Arabidopsis thaliana: one gene and its partner. The protein of the gene in region 1 interacts with the protein of each later gene in a pairwise test. Each region holds a gene or a part of one and is shown on either strand. Other genes may lie near its edges. The genes, in order: AT1G19740 and AT3G59300.

Evidence for each region.
Region 2: the proteins of AT1G19740 (region 1) and AT3G59300 interact in a two-hybrid assay, tested with the Arabidopsis thaliana proteins (one large-scale study listed by BioGRID).

What each region holds. Positions count from the first base shown.
Region 1 is NC_003070.9:6,822,116-6,826,050, forward strand, and holds AT1G19740 (ATP-dependent protease La (LON) domain protein), read left to right. Parts: upstream 1-2,206; 5' UTR 2,207-2,280; coding exon 2,281-3,117; 3' UTR 3,118-3,344; downstream 3,345-3,935. Other genes in the region: AT1G19720 (Pentatricopeptide repeat (PPR-like) superfamily protein), read right to left, coding at 1-495; ATTRX4 (Thioredoxin superfamily protein), read right to left, coding at 1,048-1,191, 1,292-1,417, 1,816-1,905.
Region 2 is NC_003074.8:21,916,974-21,922,427, forward strand, and holds AT3G59300 (Pentatricopeptide repeat (PPR) superfamily protein), read left to right. Parts: upstream 1-2,106; 5' UTR 2,107-2,114; coding exon 2,115-2,166; intron 2,167-2,272; coding exon 2,273-2,396; intron 2,397-2,513; coding exon 2,514-2,730; intron 2,731-2,839; coding exon 2,840-2,942; intron 2,943-3,029; coding exon 3,030-3,094; intron 3,095-3,217; coding exon 3,218-3,334; intron 3,335-3,431; coding exon 3,432-3,530; intron 3,531-3,743; coding exon 3,744-3,897; intron 3,898-4,045; coding exon 4,046-4,155; intron 4,156-4,329; coding exon 4,330-4,479; intron 4,480-4,584; coding exon 4,585-4,680; intron 4,681-4,772; exon of another isoform or gene 4,773-4,793; coding exon 4,794-4,904; downstream 4,905-5,454. Other genes in the region: AT3G59290 (ENTH/VHS family protein), read left to right, coding at 1-501; AT3G59310 (solute carrier family 35 protein (DUF914)), read right to left, coding at 5,343-5,442.

The DNA of each region.
Region 1 (3,935 bases):
CACCTCTCTCCACCGATTCTCCCTCGAGTAAGCACCAATCATAGCAGACCATGTAAACAGATTTCTCTCACGCATTGAATCAAACACCTTACGTGCATCAGCAATACACCCACATTTAGCATACATGCTCAACAGCTTCGTCTCCACAAAGACGTCAGGTTCAGTAAACAAACCAAACCGAGCATGAAGGATACGACCCAAATGGATAGAACCAGAATCAATACACGATTCCAACAATTTGAGGTAAGTGCTTCGTTTTACCTTGGAACCTTGTTGAAACAACGAGTCCAGAGCTTTCTCAGCTTCGAGCAAACTTCCGTTTCTACACAAGTAATCGAATTGCTCGTCGGGAATGATATTGGGTTCTTTCTTCTTGGTGAATGATAGGTTTTTCTTTCTGGATTTTGGATGAAGTTCAGGCGAATTCTCTACTTTAGCTGGAGTCTGATAATTCAAAAAAGTTTTGGGAAATGATGGTACGAAGAGCTTTTCCATTATCGACAGAACTGTTATTAACTTGAACACGCTCTAAAGTTTTCTCCTTTATCTCCGTTTCCTCTTTGAATTATCAACGAGAGTTCACAAGATTACAGAGTAAGCTCAGCGAAGAAGAAAGAAGATAAGAAAGCACGAAGAACCTCGGTAATGGGTTCGTTGGCAACAAAATATGAAACGTTTGGTGGATAAGAATTTCAACTTCCAATCAAATTATAACACGTGGAAACAGCTGCTCGCACAAAATTATTTTACACCTTTGCAAGGCCTCAGATTTCAGATATTCAAATTATGATATGCATGGAACAATTCATTCACAAGAGTCTATTTCACTGATCTGAAAATTCGACTGAGTGGTGGTCTATGGAGGTATAGAAAGAACACCTAAACATATGAATTAGGCAAAAGCCAAAGACCATATAAAAAAAGCATGGTTTTATGACAGTCAGAGATCAATAACTTCTACTTCATCTCCAATCTGCACTATTCCCGTTATGTCTAGCTAGTTTAAGATAAACAAATTAGACCTTATTATTTATGCCTCAAACTGATTTACGCAGTTGTAACACCAGTATGCTTCACTATTTTCGCCTGAAGATCTTCTTTATTCGCACCAACGAGCTTATCCACAACTTCGCCGGCTTTAATGAACACAAAGGTTGGCATTGCCTCCACACCAAACTCTTTAGCAACACTCTGTTAAACATCATCACAAGTATATAGAATATATCAGTGTAATTCTAAAGTCTAAGAGTGAGGAGATTAATTTGTTTGTAAAGAAAGTGTATTTGTTCACCTGAAGTTCATCAACATCCACCTTGAAGAAGATGGCACTTGACATGAACTTCTTGGCCAAATCGTTGAAAATTGGAGCAATCATGCGGCATGGTGGACACCATGAAGCAGTGAAATCAATCACAATCTGAAAACAATGAAATTATCACACCATCAGAATCCTAAATAACCCAATCCAAAATGATTTTTTTTACCAGAGGGGTGACTCTGAGCTACAATAAGGAAAAGAGGAACACAACAAAAGTCACAAAGATGAATCAATTAAAGAAAATACTCTAAAAGTTTACACATCAAAACGTAAGTTTCACTGATGATTCACTTGCCCTCACATCTAATGTTGTGATCTCCTTAACAATCCGTTTATTCCAACTCTACGTTAGCCGGAATCAAAACCTATACCATAACATGTGAAACCATAATGCTTTCTTTGACACTAGAAACAGTAACCCTAATCAAACAAAAACCTAATTCCCAAATCCAATACAACCAAAGAGAATTGCATAACAAAGGGGTGAGAATCGAGACCAGCTTGTTGGATTCTTTGGCTTTATCAAGTTGCACAGTCCATACATCGTTCGTGTGACAACCAATCACTTGACCCTCTTCTGCCGCCATTTCTCCCAAATCTGAGAATAAGCCAAAATCTCCGATCACCTTTTTTTCTTTCTTCCGTTCATCTTTGTAACCTATATATGACCAAGAGATATTGACACAATTACCCCTGCAAATTCATGGTTACTACGAAATGATATCCAAGTGGACCGGTGTCTCAAATGCATGTACTACACACTTACACACGAACCAAATGGCTCGTATATATTTTTATTTCTATTCTAAACAAATTTCTAGCCACAGGAATTATGAAATAAAAATATCTGATGAAATATATTTTCTCAAACAGATAAGGTTTAATTTTAAAGACGAAACAATTAAAATCTTAAATCAATTTCGCCGTTCACTTGTGAAACCTCTCCTCCTTCACTCTCTCTAATGGCGCTTCCAAGCACTGTCTCATCTCCTTCCTTCAAATCAACTCCACCTTATCTCTCCGCCTTCAACCCTAAACCTCTACATCTTCCAGCTACTTACCGGAGCATCAACCGTCGAAGCTGTAAACTCCTCTCCTTCCGTTGCTCATCCTCTTCCTTCTCCGAGAAACACCACAACAACGCGAATCCACCCAAATCAGATGACTTAGTCGAGCTTCCTCTATTTCCACTACCTCTCGTTCTCTTCCCAGGCGCAACAATCCCGCTTCAGATCTTCGAGTTTCGTTACCGAGTCATGATGCAAACGCTTCTCCAATCCGATCTCAGATTCGGCGTTGTCTACTCCGACGCTGTTTCAGGCTCCGCAGCTGGAATCGGATGCGTCGGAGAAATCGTGAAACACGAGCGTCTAGTCGACGATCGATTCTTCTTAATCTGTAAAGGTCAGGAACGATTCCGAGTCACCGATCTCGTCCGTACGAAACCTTACCTCGTCGCGAAAGTGACGTGGCTTGAAGATCGACCGTCCGGTGAAGAGAATCTGGACGAATTGGCGAATGAAGTTGAGGTTCTGATGAAAGAAGTGATTCGATTGTCGAATAGATTGAATGGGAAACCAGATAAGGAATCTCAGGATCTGAGGAAGAATCAGTTTCCGACTCCGTTCTCGTTCTTCGTCGGAAGCACGTTTGAAGGAGCTCCGATGGAGCAGCAAGCGTTACTGGAGCTTGAAGATACGGCGGCTAGGTTAAAGAGAGAGAGGGAGACGCTGAGGAATACACTCAATTATTTGACGGCAGCTTCTGCTGTGAAAGATGTGTTCCCATCGCAGCCATAGTTTAATCGGTATTTAGATATTTCTTCTGGTCTCCGTTTCGGTGTTTTCAGTTATTATTGGATACATTATATTTGATCAATGTGTAAAGTTTCAGAAACTTAGGTAATAGATAGTGGAGATGTGTTTCATAGGATCGTTTGGATTGATCAAGAAATGGGTTTTTACTTGATTGCCTCTATGATAAAAGATTACTCTAGTGATTCAAGTGTTGTTCTTAATACGAAGCGGCTCGAGTTGGCATTTACATTGAAAGCCTCTCAAGATGCTCTCTTTTGCTTATTCGGATCAATGCCAGACTCTGGATTGCCTCTATGTTCATAGGATTATATACAGTAGTAGGATTGATCAAGAAAAGGGTTTTACTTGATTGCACTAGTAGGGTTCTTGATACCAAAGAATGGCTTCTTGAGTTGGCATGTTCAATGAAAAGCATGTACATTTTCATCTAAATAAGTTTGCTTGATCAGAGTGTTTCAATGCCTCATAGCGTTTTAGTACTGAAACTGTTACACCCATGATGACTCGAAGAAACATGTCTAAAACTAGTATAGAATCTTTAGATGATAAGCTGAAATGTAAGATCCATGAAGGTTAGTAATTGTTACTTTGTCTTTTTGAGTTTATTAATAAGAGGATAAATTATGCACACTTGAGCTATGCCTCTGGACCACTTTGGCTGCCTCAGTTTCTGTGTGAAGACTGCTTAATTGATCTGGTATTAGGATGTGTGATTTGAATTAATGGGTCGCGTGTAGCTTCTTTATGTCTATGGACTATGGGTAGTGTAGTTTCTTATCATCAATATTTAAAAGATTGAT
Region 2 (5,454 bases), on another chromosome or scaffold:
GAGGCAATCAACAGGAAAGAGAAACGGCTAGAGAAACCAACTATCACACAACAACAAGTAACATCAACTATCAACATGGGGAAAGCCATGGGATCTGGTACTGGCTTAGGTCGCGCTGGTGCAGGTGCTATGAGACCTCCAACAAATTCAATGGTAGGCTCAAGCATGCCCACGGGCATGAATGTTGGTGGCTATGGAGGCATGAACCAACACCAACCCATAGGCATGAACCAAAACCATCCCATGGGCATGAACCAAAACCTTTCCATGGGAATGAACCAGAACTATCCCATGGGAATGAACCAAAACTATCCAATGGGAATGGGCATGAACATGAACATGGGCGGGTATGGACAAGGGTATCCGATGCAACCACAACAAGGAATGGGCATGGCTCCTCCTGGTGCACCACAAGGCATGACCGGTGCCTATAATCCAATGATGGGTCAAGGCGGTTACAACCCTCAGCAGCAGCAACCATATGGTGGAGGTTACCGGTAAGATTCGAGCCAATCACGGTTACCCATTTTACTTATCATGGTAAAAAGAGAAAACATCAAAGAACAGAACACAATCAGTTTGACCTGGATTTGTAAATTTTATGGTCGGTTCAGGTAAGTTGGGGTTTGGTCAGTCATATTATTGGATTAATACCTCAGCTTCATCAGTTATTTTGCTTTTTCTTTACAAAAATAATTCTCGACCAAATTGAGTTTTGTTAGGAATTTTGTAACGGGTAAAGAGAGAGACAGAGAGGCACAACCTTCACTCGGGGTTTGCTATATACATATGTATTTTGATATTATACGTCTTTTTGTAATACATTGTCCACTTCACGTAACAAATAACAATAAAAGAATTATGTCAATGTATATAGGTTTTGGTAACGTGAAGTATATAAATCACGGAAAAGTCAAAAGAAAACTGCAAAATATCTGAAAAGAAACGAATAAACGGTGGAATGATGACTTTATTTTTTTGGTAACAAAAACTAAATTGTAAAAAACATACCACGTAATGCACGTATTACCGATTGAAGTGAATAGTCCTCGGAAGAATTTTCATTCCGTATACCAATGTCTGAAAAAGAAGAAAAACTAAACAAGTACTAAACTGATGCAACTCACACAAGTCATAATTGTGTGAATTTTCACTTAGGTTCACTAAACCAGAGTTTATACCAAACAAAACCGTACTAAACTGATGTAACTCACACAAGTCACAATTGGTCGTCAATGAGTCAAGAGTTTTTTCATGAGCATTAAATAAAAGAATCAAAAGAATATCCATATATCCATCATTTTAATTCATTACAATTCATTTTTTTTCAGATAGAAAAAAGGATAACGAAAATTTCACAAAAGCATAACGAAAAATACCAACCACACCAACCTTTCCCATGATCTAAAAAGAAAGAAAAAAAAAAATCAGTATTGCCATGACGACAAAAAAAGGAACAAAAACAAAAAAATAAAAACAATAAAGAAAGCTGAAAGTTTCTGAAGTCTCTCTGCAACATTTAATAGATGCGACAGTAAACATAAGAACACCAAACAAAAACGTGATCAGCGACGGCAACGAAGACGGCGAAGAATACGGCGGACACGAGGATTCCCAACGATCAGATTCTTTGACATTCCACGGCGGCTTAGATATCAGCTTCTCCGATCCGCTCTCTCTGTTTGTGTAAATCATGGTGATCGCGGCTGCTTCCTCTTTTTCCCTCGGTACTTCGCCATTCTTCGAGATCTCTCTTCATTTTGTTTCATATGTATTGTTCATTGACTAATCTGAAGTTAGTGCATGGCTGACAGAGACGAATTAAAATTAACTTCTTTTTTTCATTAATGGCGAAAGCATTTGGGAGATTCTTTTTGGTTGACTTGTTTTGATATTTAATCGAATTGGTTTGTTTAGCTCGATCGAAATTTGTTTTTTGGTTCGTGGGTTATCTCTGTCGTCGAATTGTTTTCTTCAATCTTTATGCTTTTTGGCGTTTAGCCTGAAATTAGTTTCATTTTTCTCTGCTTTGAATCTAAACGAGACCTCAGACAATTATTTCTGTGTCAAGTTTTGTTTTTTTTTTAATTATTTTTTGTTTTTTTAGGAATTAAATGCTAATGTCATTGTTAGAGATCTTTAAATCTGATATTAGTAATTCTAAAGGTCTCTCCTTTTGCTTCTTCTTCCCTGAAAATTTCAATTTTTGTTTTTTTTTTGTTTTTCTGTTAAAATTTGGGAGCAGTGAACAATCTTGGTATGTATTTATCAGGTCCATCTCATTGCCATCAATCTTACACGGATGAGTTCTCTTCCTCCATACCTTACAAAAGAACCAGCAATGCAAGAAATCGTGTGTTTGATGGATGTGGCTCTGCTAATCTCTCTGTTTTAAGGTATTTGTCAATAATGAAGAAACGTGTGTCCATTGTTTTGATTTTGGAGTGAATTTGATTGAAGTGTAAATCTTATCATCTTTGTGATTGTCATGTAATGTGTTTTCCTCTATTCAGTTCCAGATGCAAGATTCCTTTTTTTGGATCAGCATTTCATGTATCATCCGGTGGACATGATCTCGGCCTCACGAAAGTTTCGGTTGCTGCTGATTATTCTGATTCGGTTCCTGATTCATCTTTCTATGGATATCATCCTCTAGAAGATTTGAAGCCGTCCAAAAGAGTCCAGGAGACAAAGCTCTCTGCTTCTGAAGTTGCAAGGACTACCGTCGAGGTTTATAGCCGGGAAACAACACAAACCATGACTTCATATGGACTAGAACAGTGTGGAGTTTTGCTATTTTTGAGTATGCGTGAACACGGTATTCATTTTTTACTTGTAGGCGAACAGCAGTGCTGTGCTGGTGTTTCCTGGAGCTATTCACTGTGAACCACACGATCATAATTCATGGTCCGAATTTAAGTATGTCATTGATGATTATGGAGGTTAGTCTTATATTATCGCTCAATATATTTTATATCTATCAATTACTTTCTTTCTCACCAGCTTCTTTTTTTTTTTTTCCAATTTAGATATCTTTTTTGAAATTCCTGATGATGAGAACATCTTAGAAGATCCTGGAGCTAGTAATCCAGTGGTAAGCGTGTCATTTTGATCAAGTGGAATGTCATGTATATGTCCATAGTTGATAACATTTCTTAGCTTGGTATAAGCACCATGTCCAACACCTATTAATCGAAGTTTCATCTTATACTTGTAGAAAGCCTTTTTTGGAATGGATGTCCCGCGATACGAAAACACACGGCACCATGAGGAATATAACATTTCAGACATTGGTAATCTTGACCAAATTATTTTTGATGACCATTATTTCGAGGTAGGTTGGAGCTGTTGTTGTAGTCTCTTAGTTTTCTTGCAAAGCATGCCAAGTCTCTTGTCTTATTAATGCTCTGATTACTTTGAAATATGAGTAGATTATGGATTCTGAAGCTAGAGATATTCCGATAGATTGGGGAATGCCTGACACCTCCAACGGTGTTCATCCTATTTACTTTGCCAAACACCTGTCGAAGGTTATATCCTATGCAATAGCATGATGAGAAATCTAATAAAAATGACATGCTTTAAACAATGTTCTCACTTGTTTCTGTCTATAAACTTGGAATTTTGCAACGGTTACCGAACCCTCTAGTCTCTTTAGTACTGCGTACAAGCATTATATTTGATACATACTGGTCTTGCATTGCATTGACTATGTAGTTGATTTGGGATCTCTTGTCATGCAGGCCATCAGCATGGACTATGACAGGAAAATGGACTATCCATCTAATGGTGTATCCATACTTGGATGCCTTAGGCCCGCTTTCCTTGACGAGGAATCTTATATAAGAAGATTATTTCTTTCGGAAGATAGAGATGACTATAGCTGGGAGGTTCAAGGTCCTTTCATATTTTCTAGTCCTCAAAATGCTGTTTTTGATTTTGTACCACCTCTTTTACATAGAACTTAGAGGAATCTCTGTACTATACACGTACACATTTCTGTTTGACATCCTGGATTCACCTCCCTTTGGATATTTATCTTCAGGTGATGATAATCCAATCACTAGTTCCAGACGTGACGAGAATGATATGAGTTCAAGTCTATATAGATTAGAGATTGTGGGAATAGAGCTTCTCTCCCTCTATGGAGCAGAGGTATGTTTTTGCCACCTGTCAGGTCATTTGGATGTTGAAAAAATTGCTTGAAACGATGGCTAACATATGTTGAGCTGTTTTGCGAACATTGACTTTCATACAAACTCTCTGTGTGTCATTTTTGTCTCCCACAGTCTCACCGTGAGTTGATCTAGATTCTTTGACTATTTTCAGTCTTCTATAAGTTTGCAAGATTTTCAAGATGCTGAACCAGACATCCTAGTGCACTCTACTTCTGCAATCATCGAGCGCTTCAACAACAGGGGGATTAACTCCAGCATTGCACTTAAAGCTCTCTGCAAAAAGAAGGGTCTTCATGCAGAGGTATTGTATCCATGTCTCTGAATATAATCTGGAAGTACAGTTCTGGTTTACATACCTACCACATTTTGTAACCCAGTTTTGCTACTTTGTGGTAATCTCATGCAGGAAGCTAACCTGATCAGTGTTGATAGTCTTGGTATGGATGTGAGAGTTTTCGCAGGTGCACAAGTCCAAACTCACCGTTTCCCTTTCAAAACCAGGGTGAGAGAAATCTCAAACTAAAACATCAAACAAATATACACCTTTTTCAACAAGAAAACAAAATCATAAGGACTCTGATATGATAATGCTTCTCTCATCATTGTTTATGACAGGCTACAACAGAAATGGCAGCAGAGAAGAAGATCCACCAGCTACTGTTCCCTCGTTCACGCAGAAGGAAGTTGAAGTGTCATGACGAGAGTTTGAAGGATGCATTTCGTTAAAAAAACCGTTGCTGATCAAAGTCACTAAACTAGAAAATGAGGAAACAGAGAAGAAGCTGTTTTGCCACTGGATCTGTCTAGTACTTATACGAGTTCTTTGGCCTGGCGATTGTGTACATAACGATGAGCTTTAAAGTGACTGTTCTAGAACTGTGTGGAGATTCAGCCTCTTACGTTTTAGTAGTAAGTAAACTAAATTAAACCCAAGAATAAAGAGAAGTTGATACAATTGAAGTAACTTCTATAATAGTCCAATGTTGTTCTTACAATGTAAATCTTCGTTTATCTTTACAATCAAGATCAAATAAAGCCCTTTTTCTCACTCTTTACAGTCACCAACGGTGTCCTTACTTTTCTCCACTCAAAAGATCCTTTATTTTTGCTGGATGCAATAATATAATATCACACAGTCGATGGAATTGACAAAAACCTATGTGGTTAGGTTCCCGGCTCATCATCCTCACCTAACAACTTCCTCTGCATAGCCGCCTCGTCGCCCACTTCTTCAAATCTGTGTTCCTCTTGATCTTTCTCCTTCCTGAGAAGCATC